Yarrowia lipolytica: one gene and its partners. The protein of the gene in region 1 purifies or fractionates together with the protein of each later gene. This does not show direct contact. Links are inferred from orthologs where the notes say so. Each region holds a gene or a part of one and is shown on either strand. Other genes may lie near its edges. The genes, in order: YALI1_F30647g, YALI1_C01789g, YALI1_D31186g and YALI1_D35394g.

What was found.
Region 2: the proteins of YALI1_F30647g (region 1) and YALI1_C01789g purify together in Saccharomyces cerevisiae (affinity purification with mass spectrometry; 3 studies listed by BioGRID). This does not show direct contact. The link is inferred for Yarrowia lipolytica from reciprocal best matches to the Saccharomyces cerevisiae genes YTA7 and STH1.
Region 3: the proteins of YALI1_F30647g (region 1) and YALI1_D31186g purify together in Saccharomyces cerevisiae (affinity purification with mass spectrometry, with the first as the bait; 3 studies listed by BioGRID). This does not show direct contact. The link is inferred for Yarrowia lipolytica from reciprocal best matches to the Saccharomyces cerevisiae genes YTA7 and TOP2.
Region 4: the proteins of YALI1_F30647g (region 1) and YALI1_D35394g purify together in Saccharomyces cerevisiae (affinity purification with mass spectrometry, with the first as the bait; 3 studies listed by BioGRID). This does not show direct contact. The link is inferred for Yarrowia lipolytica from reciprocal best matches to the Saccharomyces cerevisiae genes YTA7 and RSC58.

What each region holds. Positions count from the first base shown.
Region 1 is NC_090775.1:3,063,036-3,069,304, forward strand, and holds YALI1_F30647g (uncharacterized protein), read left to right. Parts: upstream 1-1,721; coding exon 1,722-2,094; intron 2,095-2,184; coding exon 2,185-5,741; downstream 5,742-6,269. Other genes in the region: YALI1_F30641g (uncharacterized protein), read right to left, coding at 1-1,087; YALI1_F30703g (uncharacterized protein), read right to left, coding at 5,912-6,269. UniProt on the Saccharomyces cerevisiae protein: Functions as an ATP-dependent nucleosome disassembly factor that helps evict canonical histone H3 from the 5'-end of genes upon their induction.
Region 2 is NC_090772.1:174,834-181,212, reverse strand, and holds YALI1_C01789g (uncharacterized protein), read left to right. Parts: upstream 1-1,862; coding exon 1,863-1,988; intron 1,989-2,286; coding exon 2,287-5,868; downstream 5,869-6,379. Other genes in the region: YALI1_C01810g (uncharacterized protein), read right to left, coding at 73-189; YALI1_C01800g (uncharacterized protein), read right to left, coding at 496-1,176. UniProt on the Saccharomyces cerevisiae protein: Catalytic component of the chromatin structure-remodeling complex (RSC), which is involved in transcription regulation and nucleosome positioning. RSC is responsible for the transfer of a histone octamer from a nucleosome core particle to naked DNA.
Region 3 is NC_090773.1:3,116,922-3,123,736, reverse strand, and holds YALI1_D31186g (uncharacterized protein), read right to left. Parts: upstream 5,124-6,815; coding exon 510-5,123; downstream 1-509. UniProt on the Saccharomyces cerevisiae protein: Control of topological states of DNA by transient breakage and subsequent rejoining of DNA strands. Topoisomerase II makes double-strand breaks. Essential during mitosis and meiosis for proper segregation of daughter chromosomes.
Region 4 is NC_090773.1:3,537,462-3,541,189, reverse strand, and holds YALI1_D35394g (uncharacterized protein), read left to right. Parts: upstream 1-1,812; coding exon 1,813-3,210; downstream 3,211-3,728. Other genes in the region: YALI1_D35398g (uncharacterized protein), read right to left, coding at 1-1,437; YALI1_D35356g (uncharacterized protein), read right to left, coding at 3,692-3,728. UniProt on the Saccharomyces cerevisiae protein: Component of the chromatin structure-remodeling complex (RSC), which is involved in transcription regulation and nucleosome positioning. RSC is responsible for the transfer of a histone octamer from a nucleosome core particle to naked DNA.

The DNA of each region.
Region 1 (6,269 bases):
TGGTGGACTTGCCCACACCGTTAACTCCAACCACAGAAATAACATAGGGACGTCCTCCACCGAGCTTTTTGTGCCGCTGGACCTCGTGGAGCAGGTCTAGAGAGGCCGAAGGGGTCAGAATCTTTCGAAGAGCGTCCGCCATGGCCTGCTGCACGGTCTGCTCGACGGTGGTCCACGAATTGGTAGTGCAGCCGACTAGTGACCGTGACACCTGGTCACATAGGTGGACTGCAACCTCCTTGGCCACGTTCTTCTTCATGAGCTGCTCCTCGACCTTGGCAGTCACCTTGTCCATATCTTCCTGTGTGATAGTCTTACCGCCCATGATGTTCTTCAGGAAACCGAATCTCGACTTGGAGGGGATCGGAGGCTCGTCGTCACCCAGTTGTTTGAGCACAAAATCGCCCTGCTTGTTGGCTCCTCCATAGTTGGTCATATCCACATCTTCCACAACAGCCGTAGCTCCTGAGGGTCCAGAGGAGAAGTCAAGATCCGCGTCGTCGTCAGAACCGACATCCAGGGCTTGGCCATCCTCTCCCCATTTTCGCATGACACCCTTCTTTTTCTTTTCCGCTGTAGAGTCGTCCTTCTTGCCCTTCTTTCCTCGCCGACGGGTCTTTCCTCCTCCAATAGGTGTAGATGCTCCGCTGGCTGCAGAGTCTGTATCGACAACAGTAACAGACGACTCAATCTTCTCGATCACAGGGACCTTTGCCTTTGCCACGGGCTCCGGCTTGACCGTCTCTGCCTCCAGGGAAGCCAGTTTTGTAGCGAACCATGCTTCGTACTCGTTATCGTCCAACTGGGGGAACAGTTGTCGGGCTTGGGTAACCAGCTGACCCACCCAAGGCAGATGAAGAAGAGTCTTGTAAATGCACACAAATACGAGCCCCTGCTCGTTGGCGACTGCCCATCGGGCCGTGTAAATGTCCTTGGTGTAGGTGGAGTCCTGGACGGGATAGGACTCTTCGATGAACACGTCGGATATCAGATCATTGACAATATGTGTGACGTTGGATGCTGAGGGAGGGGAGTACTGCCACTTGACAATTCCTCCCTTTGTAAACGCGACAAAGTGGTCAATCATGTTTGTTGTAGAGAGAAGAATCGGCCTGCTGATCTGTTGATTTTTTTTTATTCTAGGGATATTCCAGTAGGTTCGGGGATATGTAGACGAAATTAGGTTAGCATAAACCTGCACGGCACAGGAGTCGAACGGACATGCGTATTATGGGGTGTGTGTATGTCAGCATAACACAGAGTTGGGACTTTTAATAGCTATCAAAAACATTGGCATACAGACGAGGGCAAAGAAAGCCAGAAAACGAAACAGGCTCATCGGCACGTCCAAAAAAAAAAGACACTTGCGAAAATCGATATACGCAAAATGGTCGCGATAAATAGGGCGTTATAGACGCGACGAGGAAGCTGGGGGAGTGTACAACCAGACGGAGAATGGCCAGGGCACATAAAAAGAATGCCTGAGTCGTTTCCAGAGTGGCGAAAACAACACGGATTTGAACTTCCGACTTTTCTTTGCTTCCACCAGAGCCCCAATATGGCTCCCTTCTTCTCACCCACGGCTTTCCGCGTGGTGATCTTCGTACAATAGTGTGCATTTCACACTTCTCTCTCGTGTGACGTAAGAGGGCACACATGCCACAACAAGACAGCAAAGATAAACTCTACTTATACACACCAGCACCACCCATCCATACACAATGTCAACGCCTCGGACTGTGTGGCGCCGAAGAGGCGAGGAGTCGTCCAGCGAAGATGACTTTGACCTGACCCCACCCACCCGGAAGGCTGCCGCCAACAAAAACTACGTTGAGCCCAGCAGCAGTGAAGAAGACGACCATATCCGACCCACAAGAGACAGCAACGACGACGACGACGACGACAACGCAAATGCCAGCCTACAAGCGCAGCTGGCGTTTGACGAAGACGAGGGAGTGGCCGATTCGCAGGCCGATTCCGAAGAAGAGGGCTCTCGTCGGAAGCGCGGTCGAGCTGCAAGCAGCGAGAATGGTAAGTCCGTTCCAGTCACACTTGCCATCGGGTGTCGATTAGCCCAGATGATGGAGAATGGAGGTGAGTGAACTACGTGACCAAATTACTACAGCAGAGATTCGCGACACACTCGATGTCTCATGTCTCACATCTCATTAGGTACTAACACAGCTATTGGAAAACGCAGAAAAGTGGAGGATGACTCCGACTTTGAGATTGAAGTAAAAAACGACGACTCGGACGGCGGATCGCCTTCGCCGGCTTCGGACTCGGACGATGTCAACTTTGGTTCTCGGGCTCGGAAGAAGAAGGGAAGCAGACGCAAGGGCAGATCACACCATGCTACGGGAGGAAAGCGACCCAGACGCGCTCGTTCACAGGTCCCCGACGACGATGAAGAATACAGCGCCAGTGATAACTCGTCGGACAACGAAGGCTCCAACGATTCTGGTGCTTCCGAGAGAGACGAGGATCCTATCAATAACTTTGTGGAGGACGATGAAGAGGTGCAACCCGTGCGACGATCGAACCGACACAGAGGTCTGGGACGACGGGAACGAATCGCTATTGCTACTGCTGACGACGATGATGACGACGACAAGCGTCTGTCATTGGCTGTTGAGCTGGCAGAACTGAGACGAAACGATCCCCCTCCAATCAGAAAGAAGACCCTGAGAGCTCGAAAGGCGGTCAACTACCAAATACTGCCCCCACCCACCGTGGACGAACCATTCAATGCAGATGAGGCAGGTGCTTCTGCTCCCACACGACGTCGAGGCAATAACAATGCTCTTCGACGTCTCATCCCTACAGTGGGACCCTTCGGCGGAGGCGACGTGATGCCTTTGTTTGGAAACAACGTGCCTGGACTCACAGCTGTTGGTGGAGCCGACGATGACGACTCCAGTGATGACGAAAAGATCAAGGGTATCCAGGGAGCTCCTGGCATTGCCAAGAAGAAGAACGCAGTGGCAGACACGGATCCTCTGGGAGTGGACATGAACATTGACTTCACCCACGTCGGAGGTCTCGACAACCACATCAACCAGCTAAAGGAAATGGTGATGCTGCCCATGATGTATCCTGAAATCTTCAAGCGGTTCAATACCACTCCCCCGCGAGGTGTACTGTTCCATGGTCCACCAGGAACCGGTAAGACCCTTCTGGCAAGAGCTCTCGCTGCGTCCTGCTCCACTGAAGGAAGAAATATCACCTTCTTTATGCGAAAGGGAGCCGACTGTCTGTCTAAGTGGGTTGGCGAGGCTGAACGGCAACTGCGTCTCCTGTTCGAGGAGGCCAAAAATCAGCAGCCCAGTATCATCTTCTTCGATGAGATTGACGGTCTTGCCCCTGTGCGATCGTCCAAGCAGGAGCAGATTCATGCCTCCATTGTGTCTACCATTCTGGCATTAATGGACGGTATGGATAACCGAGGCCAAGTGATTGTTATTGGAGCTACCAACCGTCCTGATTCAGTAGATCCTGCTCTCCGACGACCCGGTCGATTCGATCGAGAGTTCTATTTCCCTCTGCCTGACAAGGAGGCGCGAAAGGCCATCATTGGAATCCATACCAGCAAATGGTCCCCCCCTCTGCAACCGCAGTTTGTGGACCATGTCGCTGGTCTGACCAAAGGTTACGGAGGAGCCGATCTCAAGACTCTGTGCACCGAGTCTGCAATCAATGCCATTCAGAGAACATACCCTCAGATCTACTCTTCGCATGCCAAGCTCACGATAGACCCTGCCACAATTAATGTGCGAGCTGCTGATATTCTGTTGGCTGTCGACAAAATTGTGCCCTCTTCTGCGCGATCCTCTTCTTCCGGGGCGACTCCTCTGCCTCCTACTGTGGCCCCTCTGCTTCAGAACACCGTCGATGAGCTCAAGGACCGTCTGGACTCGATTGTTCCTCGAAAGAAGAAGCTGACAGCTTTGGAGGAGGCTCTGTTTGAAGAGTTCCCCGACGAGGACGGTGGGTTTGCACGAATTCAGCGACAGAAGCTGTTTGAGAAGTCGCGAACCTGCCGACCCAAGCTGCTCATCTCTGGTGACACTGGTATGGGCCAGCAGTACATTGGCAGTGCTCTTTTGCATCATCTGGAGGGGTTTCACATTCAGCAGCTGGACCTGGGATCTCTCTATGCCGATAGCAGTAGAACTGTCGAGGCTACACTGGCTCAGATCATCACTGAAAGCAGACGTCATGCTCAGTCGGTGCTGTACATTCCTAACATTGAGTTCTGGCCCACAACTCTCTCTTCTCAGGCACTGTCCATCTTCTACACTCTGATGAGACAGGCGCAGAGCCAGACCGAGCTACTTGTTCTGGGTATCTCTGAAATGCCTTATGAAGAGCTTCCCGGGGACTTGAAGTCTTTCTTTGGGGTAGCTGCTTCTCGCCTATATTCCATTCGAAAGCCCTCACTGTCAGAGCGACGAAAATATTTTGAGGGTATCGAGCAGTACATTGTGGCCAAGCCTACAGACTACCCTGACCCTGCGACCCGAAAGAGACGAAAGCTCCCCATTCTGCCCGTTGCACCCCCGCCTCCGCCCAGGGAGTTGACTGCCTCCGATGTCAAGACGCAGCAGAAGAAGGACATGCAGCTGAAGAACGTCATCAAGGTGAAGCTCAGTGGACTGATGGAGCTGTTCAAAAATCGGTACAAGCGGTTCCGAAAGCCACCCATTGACGATATTCATGTTGCTCATCTGTTCGAGCCTGAGATTGATCCCCAGGCTGCTGCTTTGCATGATTTCAGACGTTCTGAGGACGACATGATTTTGCAGGTGTCCACTGGCAAGAAGTACTACAACTACGATCTCGATGTGATCGAGGATCGGGTTTGGAATGGCTACTACTCGGAGCTCAAACAGTTCCTCAAGGATATCGAGTACATCTACCTTGATTCCATCACCTCGGGCGACCGCGAGCGACGAAACAAGGCATCGGAGATGTTTGCCAATGCCCAGGTGGCCATTGAGGAGATGAGCATCGACCAGCAGTTCGTCGCTGACTGCAAGAAGATGCGACAACGAGAGATTGAGGCTCAGGAGAAGTGGAAGATTGAGCAAGAAAGAGTGGAGGCTGAGGAAGCCAAGGCGACCGCTGAACAATACGAGGCAGAGGCCCGTCTTGCTGCTGAGGTACAAGAGCGAGAAGTGGATGGTGACGACGGAGATCCCGATGTCAATCAGATGCAGGTCGACGGCGAGGGTATGATCGAGGAGGTCAAGGACGAGGAGATGGCTGACATTGACGCCGAAGATGAGAAGGTTGACAACAAGACAGAGGAAGTCGAAGTGGCTGAACCCGTTGTCGCTAAACCTGCTGTGGTCGAGCGTGCTGTTCCCGACCCTGTTGTCACAGAGGTGACCGAGACGGCAACTATTGGAACCGAGCCCGCCATCAACGGACACGCCAATGGAACTGTCGTTGAGGAAGAGAACGTGGAGGCTGAAGTCCAGGTTGCACCTCCTGTGGAAGCTTCTCCTTCTCCCCCTCCCACTCCTGATCCTCCTCTCATTGTAGACACCAAGAAGGCTCAGGATGTGGTTGACTTCCTTGCTGGTAACACTGGCGAGCTCACTATCGAGGAGCTTGAGCAGGTCTATGCCGCCATCATTGACATTATATGGGCACACCGAGCATCCTGGGACCGAAATGTCATAATCAACGCCATCACTGCCCAGCTGGACGAGATCGTCAATGCTTTCCACGAATAAACAAATAGACCTATATTAATTAATGACTACAGTATGAAATTGTTAAATTATCGATGACTGTGTCACTTATCACGTAATGACCGCTGTGCGTGCTTTTACTGAGGCACCTCCACCACCCGTGTTGTCAGTTCTGAGTCTATTACCATGTAGTCAATCTATATATACATCCACTAATCCTGGTGGAGCTCCTTGCACTTGTCCAGGAGCAGTCGACCGACCTTCATAACGCCCAAATCATCACCGTACTGTCCCATGATCTGCATGCCTACGTTGCCCTGCTTGGTCTTCCAGGGAATGTTGAGGGAAGGAATACCGGTCAGGGAAGCAGGGACGGTGAGTACATCGTTGAGGTAGGTATCAACGGGAGCAGAGTCGTTGAGCTTAGAAAGAGGGTAAGGCGCACAGTTAGAAGTGGGAGCAATGATGAAATCCACACCGGGCTCATCGTTGGCCTTTTGACCCTCGTTACCAGAAAGCACGTTGGGTCGGTTGAAGACCTCGTCGAAATCCTCCTGTAGAATTCGTCGA
Region 2 (6,379 bases), on another chromosome or scaffold:
GCTCTGAGCATCCCAGTTGTCATCCAAGATCATCTCCAGATCAGTCCGACACTCTCCTCACGTGATACTCACCTTCATGTTGTTCAGTTTACTACTGAGATGCGTTTTGCTCGCCGTAGGAGGCGCCTTTTTCATGTTGCTGTTCATGGCGGTTGTGTGGTTGGTGATGGATGAAATTGTATCATGCATGTCGAAGGATATATTTTCTGTGCATTTCCGAGCCGCACGGATGCCACAGTTGGACACAGTCCTGGAGTATGTATACTGTAGGCTGTAGATAGGAGGAGAAGTTTTAAAGACGTTGAAGATATCTTAAAAGGTGAATTAACAGGGGACATAGTCTACGGTCCCGTGATAATACCTCAGCAGCATATATATTGGTTACTAAGAGATGCAACACAATGTAACGTGAGGTAAGGTACCAATTGCAAGTACAAGCATGGACTGTAACGTATATTATCGAATACAGTATGTTTTTAATGCTGCTATATGCACCTATGCCAACGCCTCCAAGTCAACCGGCTGGTTATTCTTGTCCAGAATCTTACTGAAGAACTCTCGAGAGATCTTTCCATCCTTACCCTCAGTCAAGACAACACCATTTTCAGACAGGAAGAATTCGATTCCGGCCTCCAGAGCCTTGGGAACATTGATGTAAATGAACACCTCTCTGTTAAGTCGCTTTCCAGCCACAGAGCCTCCTTCGGTGACTAGATCGGTAGCCAAATGGATATGTTGACGTTTCATCTTGGACAATCCTTCCTTAAGTACAATGGGAAGCACCTGTTTCGAGGTGGCGTGGAAGATCTCAAGAGTGGGGAAGTCCTCGGGGGTCTTGAGAGCCTTCATCTCGACCTTGGTGTTGATAGTGTGTCCCTGGTTAGCTCTGATCCAGTATCCCGTGCAATCGTTGGGGTCTGTGGGTTCTTTGGGCTGTTTTTCTGTGGGCTCAAAGATGAGCTTGTATCTCTGTTTGTCGTTATCTCGCACAACCCGCTTGGTGTCTTCCAGGTTCCATTTCCCCTTGATTCCAGCTCTATTGAGCAGCACACCTACAGACAAGTATCCGTCTTCTCGAATGGGCAGCTTTTCCTTGGTGGCGCCGTGTCGCAAGATGTACGACAGTTTGCGAGAGTACTCCTCGTCAGGCGTCATTTCTCGTCGGGGTCGAGGCATTGTTGTTGGAGTGAACTGTGTGAAGAAGATTCAATTTAGATGCAGATAAAGATCCTGGTTATGCATGCAAATGTGACAGTGGGATACATGACAGAGCAGCATAGGTATGGGCGATATAGGACGGGGATGCGTCACGTGACTGATTGAGAAGTTGGCTTAGACCCCATTGAGGCCCCCGGGCACCTGTGTAGTGTCAAACGAGAAAGTATGAACGTTCCTTAACGAGGTGCTGTATGTTCCACTTCAGCTGAAAGATGAAGGCCCTTCAGTAATTAGTCTACAAGAGCACTGTTTTAACGTACATACTGTACTGGACCTACTCTGTCCTCCCCCCAAGTAAGTCAAAGCAGTGCAACAGGACATTTTAACACCATGCGGACCGTCTGAGTAAATATTTCGGCCGTGTCTGCCAGCCACAACCCGCTATTTCGACATCTTCCTTCTGACTGGTGCACCTTCATTCCAGCCAAACTTTCCAAGCATACTCACCCAAAGCGGAGTCGAACCGGCAACATCCATACCGCGCCGCGTAAAACGTGGTCCGAAACCGTGGGTGGGAGCAGATTAGACTTTGGTCGACCCTCACACACTTTCACCCACTGCTGTCGAGCGAAACTATCAAGCGTGTAGAACCGTGCGGTATTCGACGAAACCGAATCATCAACGGCACACACAGCACTGGCAAGATGGATCTCGAAAACGGGCATTCGCCAGCACCCAATGGCGGTGCTCTCAACGGCTCCGCCAAACAGCCCCACTATTATTCCATCCCCACCCCCGAGAGCGTGGAGCAGGCCCAGTTGTTGTTTTTGGTGAGTATCAGAGGAAGAGGAAGACAAGAGGAGGGGAGACAGACCCAACACGACGGACGGAACACCATCACGTGACACCGAGGACGTGACGACACCACGTGACATTGTCAGAGTGTGATTGTGTTATGGACACGACAGCCGACGTTGGACGGGTCGACACGACATTATCGATGTCATGGGTCATGGGTCATTGGTATCGTATCGTATCGTTGCACATAACGTGACGACACACGTGTCTCAACACAGCACAGTGTGCAAGTCTATTGCTTGACCGCCATCTATTCTCATTCTAACACAGCGATTCAATGCTCTTAATCAATCCGACCACCCGGTGACACCCGAACTCGAGGGCATCGTCACCCGGCTGCACACCATGGGCCAGGAGCAGCAGCTGTACAACAAGCGTCTGGCAGAGGTCAACAGCGCCCGAAAAGCCGCCCACAACAAGATCGACCTCGACCTGCTCCGAACCCAGGTCAACGCGTTCAGATACCTGAGCCGAGGTCTCGACATGCCCACCGACGTGCAGGAGCGCCTAATGGAGACGGTAGGCATCGAAAGTGACATCACCGAAGAGGAGGCTGACGCAGCACTTGAAAAGTCACTCACCCCTTACCAGCGACGTCTCAAGGACAGCGGAGTGCCCCCCCGAGGCGGGTTTGTGGACAACGGGCGGGGAGTCGGTGGACGACACGAGTTCATCATCACGAACCGAATCTCGCAGCGGATTCTGGAGCTCGAGTCTCTGCCATCAAACCTCGGAGTGTTGGATGCTTCCCGGGATGATCTCGGCAAAGCCGAAGGCACTGATGCGCTCAAAGTACGAGCTGTGGCCGAGCTCAAGGCCCTGCGGCTGCTAACCAAGCAAAAAAGTCTGCGGCAACATCTAGTCTTCTGCAAGGCCCAGACGTCCCAGGTGACCGACTCGGTCATCAACCGGGCTCTCAACCGACGAGCCAAGGTGCAGACCGCGCACGAGATGCGACTGACGGAGCAGCTAGAGCGACAGCAGCGCATGGAGCGTGAACGCAAGCAGCGGGAGGAAATCATGGCGTACGTCAACTCGGTGTGCCACCAGTCGGACCGAATCAGAGAAGAGGCCCATCGTCGACGAACCAAGCAGTACGCCGTGGCCAAGGGCATCCAGCAGTTCCACTCGTACGTTGAGCGAGAAGAGAGTCGACGAGTCGAGCGAACTGCCAAGCAGCGTCTGCAAGCTCTCAAGTCCAACGACGAGGAGGCCTACCTCAAGCTCCTGGACCAGACCAAGGATACACGTATCACCCACTTGCTGCGACAGACCAATTCGTTCTTGGACTCTCTGTCATCTGCCGTTCGTGCTCAGCAAGGAGAAGCCGGAACTCAAATGCCCATTCCTGCTGCGGAGGAAGAAGGAGGAGAGGGAGAAGAGGACCGCGAGAAGATCGACTACTACCATATTGCTCATCGAGTCAAGGAGACAGTCTCCAAGCAGCCTTCTATCTTGGTTGGGGGTCAGCTCAAGGAGTACCAGCTCAAGGGTCTGCAGTGGATGGTGTCTCTGTATAACAACTCTCTGAATGGTATCTTGGCCGACGAAATGGGCCTTGGAAAAACTATCCAGTCCATTTCCCTCATTACCTACCTTATTGAAGTCAAGAGACAGACCCGGCCTTACCTGGTCATTGTCCCTCTCTCGACACTCACTAACTGGACCAATGAGTTTGAAAAGTGGGCTCCCAGCGTTAAGAAGATTGTGTTCAAGGGTTCGCCCAACCAGCGTAAGGAGTTGTCCAACCAGGTACGAGCAGGAGACTTCCAGGTGCTGCTCACCACCTACGAGTACATCATCAAGGACAAGGCGCTTCTGGGCCGAATCCGGTGGGTGCATATGATCATTGACGAAGGTCATCGAATGAAAAACACCCAATCCAAGCTTGCCCAGACGCTCACGCAGTTCTACTACTCTCGATACCGACTCATTCTTACAGGTACCCCTCTGCAGAACAACCTGCCCGAACTGTGGGCGCTGCTCAACTTTGTGCTACCCAAGATTTTCAACTCGGTTAAGACGTTCGACGAGTGGTTCAACACGCCGTTTGCTAACAGCGGATCACAGGACAAGATGGAGCTCACGGAAGAAGAGACGCTGCTGGTCATCCGACGTCTTCATAAGGTGCTGCGTCCCTTCCTGCTGCGACGTCTTAAGAAGGACGTTGAGAAGGATCTCCCCGACAAGGTGGAGACCGTCATCAAGTGCAAGATGAGCGCTCTTCAGCTCAAAATGTACCAGCAGATGCTCAAGTACAACGCTTTGTACGTTGGTGACGATTCTGGCGCGGCTGGTGTCAACAAGAGCGGAGTCAAGGGTCTCAACAACAAGATTATGCAACTGCGTAAGATTTGTAACCATCCTTATGTATACGAGGAAGTCGAGACTCTTCTGAACCCATCACATGGCAACAACGACCTACTGTGGCGTTCTGCAGGTAAGTTTGAGCTTTTGGACCGAATTCTGCCCAAGTTCAAGGCTAGGGACCATAGGGTGCTCATGTTCTTCCAAATGACCCAGATTATGGACATTATGGAGGACTATTTGCGGCTCCGTGGCTTGCAGTACCTGCGACTAGATGGTAACACCAAGGCCGACGATCGATCCGAGATGCTGAAGCTCTTCAACGCTCCCGATTCGCCCTATTTCTGTTTTCTGCTGTCCACTCGAGCTGGTGGTCTAGGTCTGAACCTGCAGACAGCCGACACAGTTATCATCTACGACACTGATTGGAACCCTCATCAGGATCTGCAGGCACAGGATCGAGCACATCGAATTGGTCAAACCAAGGAGGTGCGAATTCTGCGTCTGATCACAGAGGATTCCGTTGAGGAGGTTATTCTCCAGCGAGCTCACGCAAAGCTTGAAATCGACGGAAAGGTCATTCAGGCCGGAAAGTTCGATAACAAGTCGACGGCCGAGGAGCAGGAGGCGTTCCTGCGAGGGCTGCTGGAGCAGGAGGAGTCTAAGCGTGGCTCTCGAGAGGCAGAGGACGAGGACCTTGACGATGAGGAGCTCAACGACCTGCTGGCTCGAAACGAGGAGGAGCGGGCTTTCTACGCCCAGATGGACGCCGAGCGGAACGCCACAAGCGATTATGGCAAGGGCGCAGGACGACCCGATCGGCTGCTTTCCGAGTCCGAGTTGCCGGACCAGTTCACTCAGGATGTGTCTGAGCATTTCCGAGAGGACGACATGGCCGACTCGGACAAGTACGGCCGAGGAGCTCGAGAGCGAAAGGAAGTGTACTACGACGACGGCCTCACAGAGGAGCAGTGGCTCAACATTGTGGACAATGACGAGGATCTGGACGCTGCCATCAAGAAGCGACGCCGAAGCCGACGGTCCCGAGCCCCCACTGATCTGGATGACGGTCTGGACGCCGATGATATCATCGTTGACGATGCCGATGGAGACGACCAGTTTGTCGACGAAGAGGCGTCTCCTCCTCCCAAGAAGAAGAACAAGAACAAGATCCCCAAGGTCCGGGAAACCTTGTCTGTGGCTGACCGGGAGGAGCTCAACGAGTCATGCCAGCTGGCTCTCAACGAGTGTTTTGCGCTGACGGAGCCCTGGGATCCTGAAGATGAGTCTGCGGGCCTGCGGCATGTGTGTGACCTGTTCCGGTCCATTCCCTCCAAAAAGCTGTATCCCGACTACTTCAAGCTCATCAAGAATCCGATTGCGCTTGACGTGATCCAGAAGAAGGTGAAGCAGAATGTGTACCAGAACCGGTACGATTTTGTGGCTGATTTCGAGCTCATGAACCAGAATGCTCGAACCTACAACGAGGAGAACTCTCCGGTTGTTACGGATGCCGACCGTCTTTTGGACATTGCCCGGGGTTAGAAGATATATAATGGGCAAAAAGGTCCCACTAAGCTGTATAATATGATGTGTTTGTTTATTACACAGCTGGAGCGAAGCTGTCTATCCGTACGTCTACTTGTAGTAATATCGCCTTTACCTTCTACTCAACGAAACCAAGCACTCGCAGTGTATCTATCGAAATTCGTCTCATTGTATGTTCTTGCCAAGGGCGCTCAGAAAAAGCGCCTCACAGCTAGTCTAGACAATTAGAGATTAGAACACACCCTTTTTTGCAAGTTTTACTACAGTACTTGTTTTGTCATGTGACATAATCTATGGAATATTCTTTTCAATCTTTTCTATTTCTCTCGCACTCAGGTCAGAATATTGTTGAGAGAGTCTTGTTAAAGGTGATACCCCGGACCAACCTGGTCAATTTCTCACATAGACATGAGAGGAACCAGCTTGGTCGTAGACAATGATGTCCATCCTGTAAGCAGTGTATCTGCCGATCTAGAATCTCTTTCTGGTGAATGAGCAAGCACACACT
Region 3 (6,815 bases), on another chromosome or scaffold:
GACGTTTATGGAGTGTGGCACGAAAGAGTGGGCATTTGGGTGGCTGTGGGAGACTAGCTGGATTTTTCGAAGGACAAAAATTGCTTGTGAGCCACAGATAAGCAGATTATAGCTGAAATTCTGGGGATCGGATCTATACTGGGAGAGTTAGAGCCAGATGTAATAAGTCAACTAATGAGGGACGTATTTACTTAGAATTTGGGGAAATACTAAATAGAAACATTTGAGAGTGGTAATAAGAAAATATAGATTGGTTTATATGGGAGAATTAAAAAGTAGAATTTCATACTTTTTTTTCTAATTGAGAATCGAAGGAGTTGACAACGATATGTACAGACTTGATGTCTTCCTGACTAAAAAAACTATTTAATTAATTTAATAGATACGAGAATTAAAATACAATATCCAATAGCTACAATACCAGTCTCTGACACTACATTACCACCATCCACCATAATCACAAACAATAAATTACTTTCTCAAAAAGTGACCATCATGGTCGCCCGACCTTACTCATCATCATCATTGAACATGGACACATCTTCTTCATCATCGACAATATCCAGGTCCGAATCATCCGAATCGACGTACACAGACTTCTTGGGGGCGGCGGCACGTCGAGGTCGAGCCGACGACGCTCTAGACGACGCTCTAGACGACGCGGAAGACGCCACCTCGGCCACCTCATCGTCTGACAAATTCATGTCTTCATCCGAGTCGTCAAAAATGGACTTCTTCTTGGGGGCAGTCTTCTTGGGAGCGGCCTTAGGAGCAGCTCTGGGAGCAGCCTTCTTGGGGGCGGCCTTCTTGACCGGTTTGGCCACATCCTGCACCTCCTCAATGGACCCTCCCATGTCCAAATCGTCATCATCGTCAGACAGCGATCCAAACAGCGACACCCGCTTCTTCTTGGGTATCTCAAACTCAGAATCGAGCTTGCCGGATCCAAATTGAAGCCTGCCACCGGCAGCTCCCAGACGGTTGATCTTGGTGGGAGAAGACTTGACGGGAGAGTCGCCAAAGATGGAAGTGGAACCAAGTGAGCCAAACGTATTCTTGAACTTGGGAGAGGTGGCGGTGTCGGACAAACGGGGCTTGGTCTTGGAAATTCCTGGCTCCTTCTTGACCTTGACATCATCCAAATCCACCACCTCGGGCTCAACCGACGCTGAAGACGACTTGGCACGTGACTTGGCCGCTGCCGTCTTGGGCTTAGCAGCAGTCTTGGCCTTCTTGCCAACAATAAAATCCTCATCGTCGTCATCTCCAGCCTTCTTCTTGGCTGCCCGCTTCCGCTTCGTGGCGCCCTTCTTACCAGTATAGTTGTCCAGCTTCTGCTGCTTCTCCACGTCCTGCTCCTCAAACTTCTCATAAGCCTCCATGAACACGTCCAGGTCGTCCATCCAGATGTCCTTGGCGGACTTTTTCAGCAGCTCAATCAGCTCCTCCTCCTTTCCGTCCCGCTCCCGCAGCAGCTTCTCGTACCGCTCCTTGGTCAGAGACCACAGCGCCATGCCCAGAAGATAGTCGTATCCGTTGGTGGGGATCTTGCCGTGAATTTCCTCGGCCTCGGCCAGATCTTCAGCAACCTCATCCGAGGGCGCCTCCTCGTCCTCGGCAATGGCGGCTTTGGCGTCAGATGCGAGCCGCTCGCCGTTCTTGCCGTACCGCGGGAACTTGAGCTCAGAGAGCTCTGCAATCAGCACCTTTCGGCCCTTGTTGTTGATGTTGAGCTTCTTGTCGATGATGAGCTTGATGAACCGCGCCTGGGCCGTCAGCTTCTCGAGCTGCTGCTCAAAGTCAGAAACCAGCCGGTCCTTTCGTTTCTGGTAAAACTCCAGCCGCACCGGAAAGTACTCCTTCATGATCGCCTCAGGGGAGTCGTACTTTTTGATCCGGCCCTCAGGGTCGAACGCCACCATGTTAGAGGTTGATAGCGACGAAATCAGCTTAAACCGCTCTCTCAGGCCAATCTGACGTGTCTTCTCCATCTCCTTCTCCGACAATGTAATGTTGAACTTGACTCGGAAACCGTGGTCCTCAGTAAAATCCTCAATCCAGCCCTTTTCGTTCTTGGAGTCAATCAGCGAACTCAGCAAAAACTCCTTCATGGAAATGGTCCACATTCGAGCAGGCAACTCTGTGATACAGAGCGTGCGCTCGTCAACCTGCTCAATCAAACCCTTGACCTTGTACCGGCCGTCTCCCACAGGCTCCACCTCGCCATGCCATCCTCGGAACCAGGGGATCATGGGTACGGGAGGTTCATCCTTCAACATGCGTCTCAAATTGTCGACAATGTCAAGTGGGTTGTAAGGAGGAATACTGGTGGACCATCCAGAACCAATTCCTTCACAGCCGTTCACAAGCAACATTGGCAGAACAGGAAGATAATACTCTGGCTCGACCGGAGTATCGTCGTCAGTGACGTAGTTGTACAGCGGCTCATCCTGCTTGTTGAAAATCGCCTTGGTGATGTCCATCAACTCCGTCTGGGCGTATCGCATCGCGGCGGCATCCTTACCTCCCTGAGATCGCGATCCAAATCCTCCATCGGGCTTCATCAGGTAGATATTGTTGCTACCGGCAAAATCCTGGGCCATGGCCATGATAGTGCTTCCCAAAGAAGCCTCACCATGATGGTACCCGGTGTGTTCGGAAATATATCCCACGAGCTGCGCCACTCGGATGGACACGGTGAACTTTCGCTTGAACGAACCAAACAGAACTTTACGTTGTCCAGGCTTGAATCCATCACAAACAGAAGCAATGGAACGCATGTTATCGGCCATAGAGAAGAGAATCAGCTCCTTGTTGATGAAATCCGACACGGGAATGTGCGTCAACTTTGGATCAAGGTGAGTACCCGGCTTGTACTTGCGCAACCACTCCTTTCGGTCATCGGCCTTCTTCTTGGAAAACGCCAGCTCGATGAACGGCCGATCCTCCGCAGTCACCGCGTGGAACTGCTTCATGTGACGATCCAGGTCCTTGAAATACTCTGTGGCGTCTGCAGTGGGCGTGGTACCCAGACCCTTGAAGTACTTGCTCGTCCACGTGCACTGCTGGCCTTCAAAGTCCCTCCACGCCTCGTACTCGGGCATGTTGTAGAAGGGGATTGTCTTGACCACCTTCTTGCCCCGCATCACCATCACCTTAACAATCGGAGTGATGAACTCGAGCAGGAACCCGGGGATCTGAAGCAGACCAGGGAACATAGTTTCCAAGAAGTTGATGATCAGACCCTTGATGTGGGAACCATCATGATCCTGATCGGTCATGATCATCAGATGCCCGTATCGCAGGTCCTTGCAGCTCGTGTAGTGCTTCTTGTGCTGCAGACCGATGATCTCCTTGATAGCCTGGATCTCGGCGTTCTTCATGATCTGGTCCGTGGACGCCTCTCGCACGTTGAGCATCTTACCACGCAGAGGAAAGGCGCCATATCGTTCTCGACCAATCACAGACAGTCCAGCGTTCGCCATGGTCATGGCGGAGTCTCCCTCAGTGAGAATGAGCGTGCACTCATGGCCACGCTTAGTTCCAGCGAGCTGGGCGTCTTCCAGCTTCACCAACGTGGTGATTCGCTTCTTCTTGGAGGATCCGTCAGTCTTCTTGAGAGCTGCATCTGCGTTCCGGCCGGCAATGCTCAGCACCCGCTCCATAATGTCGGTGTTGTTGGTCACCTGCTTGATAAACTTGTCGGACAGCTCGCACTTAGAGCCAAAGGCAGACACCTTTGTGGTCATCTGCTCCTTGGTCTGTGAAGTGAAGGCCGGGTTCTCAATCAGACAGTTGATGAAAATGAACATGTTGGCCTTGAGCTGGGCGGGCTTAACCTGCGCGTCCTTGAGCTTCTTTTTGGCGGTGGCGGTAAGCTTGGCTACCAGCTGGTCGGCAATGTAGTTGACGTGTGTGCCTCCAGAGGTGGTGGCGATCGAGTTGACGAAGGACACGTTCTGGTACGTGCCGTCGGAGACCGCGAACGCGACTTCCCACCGATCATTGACAATTTCATGCACGATTTTCGACTTTTGCACAACCTCATTGTCCTCGTCGGCCACCAGACTCTTCAAATATAAGTCGACGTACGCCTTGAAATCCTTCAAAGCCAGTCTAGTGCCATTGAGCTTCACCTTGACACCGTGGGTGGTACCGGCAATGTCGTAGACACGTCGCATCAACACGCCCACCGTGTCAGCGTCCAACTCGGTCATATTGAACAGCTTGAGATCTGGCTTGAAGGTGACCTTGGTGTACTCCTTCTTGGTTTTAAGCTCCTTGATCTTCGGCTTGTCCACTTTGGACATGTTGTTGGACCAAGTCTGGGTGTAAATCTTGCCGTTCTTCTGGTCGGCCGTCTCCAGCTTGAACTCGGTCGAGAAGATGTTACACAACTTGGCACCAAAACCGTTTCGGCCACCAACCACCTTTTTCTCATTGTCGTTGTAGTTTGAGGAAGTCAAAAGGTTGCCGAAAATCAGTTCGGGAATGTAAATCTTCTCCTTGTCGTGGATCTCAACGGGAATACCCTTACCGTTGTTCATGACCGAGATTTCGTTCTTGTCGGCATCGATTGTGACTTCAAGACTGTCCATTTTCGGGTCTCGGATCTTGTTGTCGGCGGCGTTGACCAGAATCTCGTCAAAGATCTTGTACAGACCGGGCACGATGGTGACCATCTTGTGTTCGAGGGCGGACGTTGTCTGGTTCCACACCCACATGGGGGAGGCCGTAGCTTCCACCGAGCCAATGTACGTGTCTGGACGCTTGAGAATATGTTCCAGCTGGGTGAGCTTCTGGTACTGCTCGGAGGCGGAGCCCTTTTTGCCCTTGGGGGTGCCTTTGGGAGAGGGCACTGGCGCATTGTCGTTGGCAACCTCCTGGAGGGGTTTGGCCTTGGACTTGGGAGCAGCCTTGGGCTTGGCGGCAGCCTTGGCGGGTTTCTTCTTGGGTTCATCGTCACTCAGGGCGAAATCCGACTCGGAGTGATCGTCGGAGATGACTAAAGAATCGTCGTCGTCGGAGAACATGGTGGGTTTCGGCTTAGACTTGCCGCGAGGACGAGGAGGGGTGTTTTCGTCGGAGGCGAAGGAAGAGAAGAGGGTGGATTGTTTGGCCATCTGGGTTAGGAGCTGAACGGAGCGAAGATGTAGGTTGAATGATGCGAGCGGCGATAGTGACCACAAAGGTGGCGAGGAAGATCTGGGTCCGAATGTGTTACAGTCAGAGCGAGCAGAAAAGCTCTAGATCGGGGCAGCGCGTGCAATATCACTGGTGTGCGCCATTGGCGGTGTCTCACCAGGAGAGCTGCCACCGCAGATGTGAGCTGAGCTCTCAGGAGAGACACAGAACCACACTTGACAAACCAGAAAACAACCGCACTGCCAGGAACCAGCACCACACTTCATGGATCTGCTACGGTGGCAAATGTCACCTCATGGTCGAGATCTAAAGCACCAAAGCATTGATCTGAACGAGCAGCAAGTTGGACGTGTGTGCGGTCGTGTCATATGGCGCCCCAAATAGCCACAGCTCGCTGCAAATTGTGTCGAAGACTCTCCACATAGTGACTATACCAGCCTTGTTGTGGTCACCACATGGTCCATCTAGTCACCACATGAAGAGTCGCGTGAGAACGATGCTCTCCAAAACCGCCTCCCCGCATCGATTGACGTTAGTAGGCCTCGCCTACCACTGCGCATTCCATAGCGTCTGGCGCCTTGCTTCAAATACTCACCTCTCGTGGAATTCTCTGTTCAGTCGTCCGAAAAAAGTTGTGTGTAGAGAAACAGAAAAGTATTTGGTAGTCGTGAAAGACAAGTGTGGGAGACGCGTATTTTAGAGTTTGTGAAATAACATTGGGCGGTTGCCATGGTAACGGTCAACGTGAAGAATTGATAATGGTAAATTTATAAGAAATGAAAATAAAAAAAAAATAAATAGAAATAAATAGAATAAATAGAAATAAATAGAAATAAATAGAAATAAATAGAAATAAATAGAAATAAATAGAAATAAATAGAAGTAAATAGAAATAAATAGTCATAAAACTGCAAGTGATTGAAACAGATATTGTGGTGCTTCTGGTGTGATTGGAAAAGAATTTTTCCCTATTTTTCAGCTTCCCTTTATCCAACAGCCACATAATGTACTGTCTGTATATCACTTAGTTGACTTTACTTACTTGGGAATTGTTGAGAAAAAAGTTTCTGGGGGAATCTATCTGGGATTCCAGGAATATTAGAGATATAAAATAGGGACCAAACGATAGCGTATACTCGGTTTAATAACAATATTTCAATAGAATCATCTTGTGTAATATTGATATTTCAAACAGGCGACATTTCCATTTCTCAATACAAGTATAATCTGTGGATAATTAGTTGAGAGATACTTGATACAAAAAAAACAACAAAAAACAAACAAAAAAACAACAAAAAACCACAAAAAAACCACAAAAAAACCCATCCGACATCTTCATGGGGCCAATTGCTCTGGAATTTTCAGGAAATACCCAAATAATACTGCAGAAACTCTTTTGTCAAAGACGGATTACGTACAATCGATCACTCAAATGATCTCAAGTCTTTGCTAGAATCAGGTATAATTTTTTTTACTGTTATATTACTGACATACATCTAACGCGTCGACCACAACTGTAGAATCGTGAATATACAAAAAGATATCGCTTAGGCAGAAATGGCATCATGTAGAAGAAGTCATGACGACCATTCTGATACCACTCTCGACTCGTCTAGCCTTACGTAAGCGAAGTTGAGATGATGGTGGACAACTATAACCGGGCTTGATAC
Region 4 (3,728 bases), on another chromosome or scaffold:
ATCATTAACTACCCTCACCTTGACTGGTCTAGAGCTCTCCTCTCCGTCTGGATCGGGCCGCTTCATCACCAGCTTAAGAGAAGGAGCTGCATCCTTGTGTTTGGTGACCACCACCTGGTAGAGAGAGTAGCTGCGTGCCTGGCAGCCAATGCAGTTGTGTAGAATTTCGTGGCAGAAGACGTCACAGTCGATGCAAAAATGAGAGTGGCAGGTGGGACACTCATACCGTGACGTCATGGAGCCATCGGCTTGGATGTTTTTTGCATCTCTTGCCACCACTGGGAACTTGGATTGACAGCCTGCACAGAATTCAGACTTGTGTGCGTTCTTGCAGGGGACTTCAATAAATGGAGCCAGGGGGAAAAGATGGTGATACGATCTGGCCAGATGGGTGGACAGAATAAGTGTGAGACCACAGCAGGGGCAGACTGTGGGGAGTGAAGACACCTTGACCTTACATTGCGGACAGACGTATCCACCTTGTGTGAGAGCTGCATCGGAGGCCGAAAGAGAGGGAGCTGCTTCTGAAACCTTTGAAGGAAATCCCATGAGCACCAGGGATGCTGGATTGGCGCTCTGGCTTTGTTGTGACTCTGCCAAGGGTGTAGTAGCCTCGTCCATGAGCTCCTGGAAATGCTGTTCGTTCAGCACGACACCATAGTATGAAGCGTCTCCAAAGTTGGTTTTGACACACAGTTCCTTGCAGATCGCCACCTGCGCCGCCAGACCAATGACTCGGGCTCGGACCTTGTCAATAACGAGCTTGTCGATGGTTACGTGGATATCTCCTGGGTCAGCCGACAACAAGGCACCCAGAACAACCAGTACCTCCTTAGTGCAATGAGAAGGCACATGGAAAAGCAGACCTCGAGCCATTTCAAGAGCATTTTGAAGAGATGGATCACCTTGAGGCTCGAGCTTTTTGGCTGCCGTCAGGGCGTTAATGTGGTCGTTGGGGTTACTGCCCAATGTCGATATGCTGATTGCCTGTCCGTTTCTCATGCCCAGAATTCCGAGCTGAGAAATGGGATTCTGGTCGAAGAAGTTGGTTACGAATTCAATGGCATGGTTAATGACAAATTGGTACCTGTTTGGTCTGAGATCGGACTCTTTCATGGCAAACGAAAAGTCGAGCACCAAAATCAGGTTTCGAATGATACCTCTCTGGAACGGAGTTGCATCCTTGATGTGTCGTTTCTTTCTTGCTTCCACAAGACCCGCCACCGAGCCTGCCAGCGATCCTCCCTCGTCCTCTTGCACGACGTCCCAAGATCTATGGTATTCGTCTTCCCATGAGTATCCTCCATTGGCCATCTTCATGTTCTCCACCGAGCCTCCGGCGCCCTTGGGGGCCTGGTTTCGTCGCGACCGCCGAGGGGCACCCTGGTACTCGTCTCCACTAATGTTTTCAATGTAGTCGTCGTCCGAGTCGTCCATGGTGTGCTGAGATGTGTACTCGTACCCGTACTAGATAAGAGTATGAAGAGATGAGTGTTGTATGCATGCTTGCCATACAACGGAAGAAGCAGGACGTCGATACAAGGCGGCATTAGAATAGGTTTAAAGATTTGAAAGCAATTCTAAGTGGATTATTCGCCGTCGAAACAAATTTACAGAAATTAATATAGCCACTCCACTTCTTCTCCGCCATCTCATACACCGCTGTCTCTTGGCTGGGTCACATGACGAAGCTAATTTTTGGAGTATGGTTTCTGTCATACTCTAGTCAACACCCACACGTCGGAACGTTCATCACGTCGAACAAAAATCACCACACATCTCATCGAACCCAGACACCAACACAAAGACAACATGTCGCTCATACAAGACATTTTGGACGTGTTGCTAGCCGACGCCGTCGGAAAGACTGTGCTCTCCACAAAGGCAGTGCCCCAGGTGTCGCCTCAGTCCACAAACCTGTCGGTGCTTGCAAGCTATGCCCAACACAACGTTGCTGATCTGACCTCGGTATCCGAGAAGGCGTATGATTCGGTGCGCAACTTGTACGTGGACGTCAAGACCGCAGCCGTCCAGGCTCTGGTGGCGCTGCCAATTGGCTCGGAGAAGTATCTGGAGGTGGACCGGTTCTTCAAGTTTGCCGCAGCCCTCATCATCCGAGAAGGCTCGCGGATGGACCTGTTTGGAGGCAAGGACCCCGAGGATGTGGTACCCGAGGACGTGACGGAGTTCGAGGAGGAAATCGTGGCCGACTACGCCGACTTGACTGCGGACTTGGAGTCGTGGAGCGCAGAATCGTTTCTGGTCATGGGCCAGAATGGACCTCTGTTTTCGACGTTGTCCACCAAATCGGCCATCGACCCGCGCCCAAGTATAACCCCGGGCGCGTTCCAGGTAACCAACGTACTGCCACGTACCCGGTCGGTTCCGGCCTACCAACTGGGCTACCTCACACCTGCCGTGTCGCGACTTCCACACCCAGCCCTGCCTCCGACAGAGATGATGACGCACTTTGTGCACCCCAACGGCTCCGAGTTGGCGCCCAGCCGGTTCCTGCGGATGGACGCAAACTCGTCCTTTGCCCCCACTAGCGACAGTGGTAAGGCCGTCTACGACCCCGCTTCAACCGGAGCTCTGTGGTACGAGAAGGTTGGGCGACTGCGAGAAAGCGCCATCGACGACGCTCTTGGAAAGAACGACACCAAAAAGGAGGATACTAACGACGTGGAGATGAATGACGCGACTGAGGCTAAGGTGGAGGGACAGGAAGAGGAAGAGGAGAAGGGGGGACAGGGAGAGGAAGAGGAAGACCTCCAGCCTCTGTTTAGAGATGAAGATGTCGACCCCTCCAAGGATCTGCCCATGGAAGACATTCTCCAATGGCACCCTCGAAACTTCATTGACGACGACGAGTTCGAAGCCATCAAAACTGGCACCGAGCTCGAGTTTGTCAGCAGACTCATGCTCCAACTGCAACAACTCCAGGCAGACCGTTTGGCCACACCTGACATACCTCCACCAGTGTCGTTTGAGGAGCGACGGCTTGCAATGAAAATCGAGGGTGTGTTGGGACGGCTGCTGCAATCCACCGAGGGCATCGACATTGCTAACTCCAAGATCAAGCCTTCCACTAACATCCCTGCTCTCAAAACAAACTATCTGGGTGTTTTGCCGGCCCCTGAACCTCCAAAGCCCATTTCTTCCGTCGGACGTCTACCTTCTGGTCCCAAGACCCGACGGGCTAAGCGGTAGATGGGTGAGATAGAACGGTGATATTTGGGGGAGACGCCATGGCGTGACTCCTGGCACGGGCTGCCAGGACCTGTATTAGTTAGGATAATGTATGTTTAGTAATTTTCCGGGGTGTGAAACAATCTAAATGCTGTCAGCTAGAATAGGTCAAGATCGACGGGTAGCATCACAAGTACATACTGTACTGTATGTACTTGTACTTGTACGTACTTGTAGTTGTATGTAAATTAAGTAGTTGATTCTACACGCTTCTCAAGTTGGCTCTATTACAATGCTGTAACTAGACTAATACGTATGTTAAGAAGTGGATGTGTGTAAGGAGCATTTAATGTCGAAATAACTGGTTTAAGGAAGCGCACAACGCTTTTGTACAGCCATGAGCTCCACTGTCATCTCTGTATACGAATCACGCTACGGTACTACTCGTAGCTATATCTCGTTGTTACTCATTCATATATTATAATAAAAGTGATCAACTCCGTTATAGAGGAACGTCAGCACCCATGGCAATAGAGATG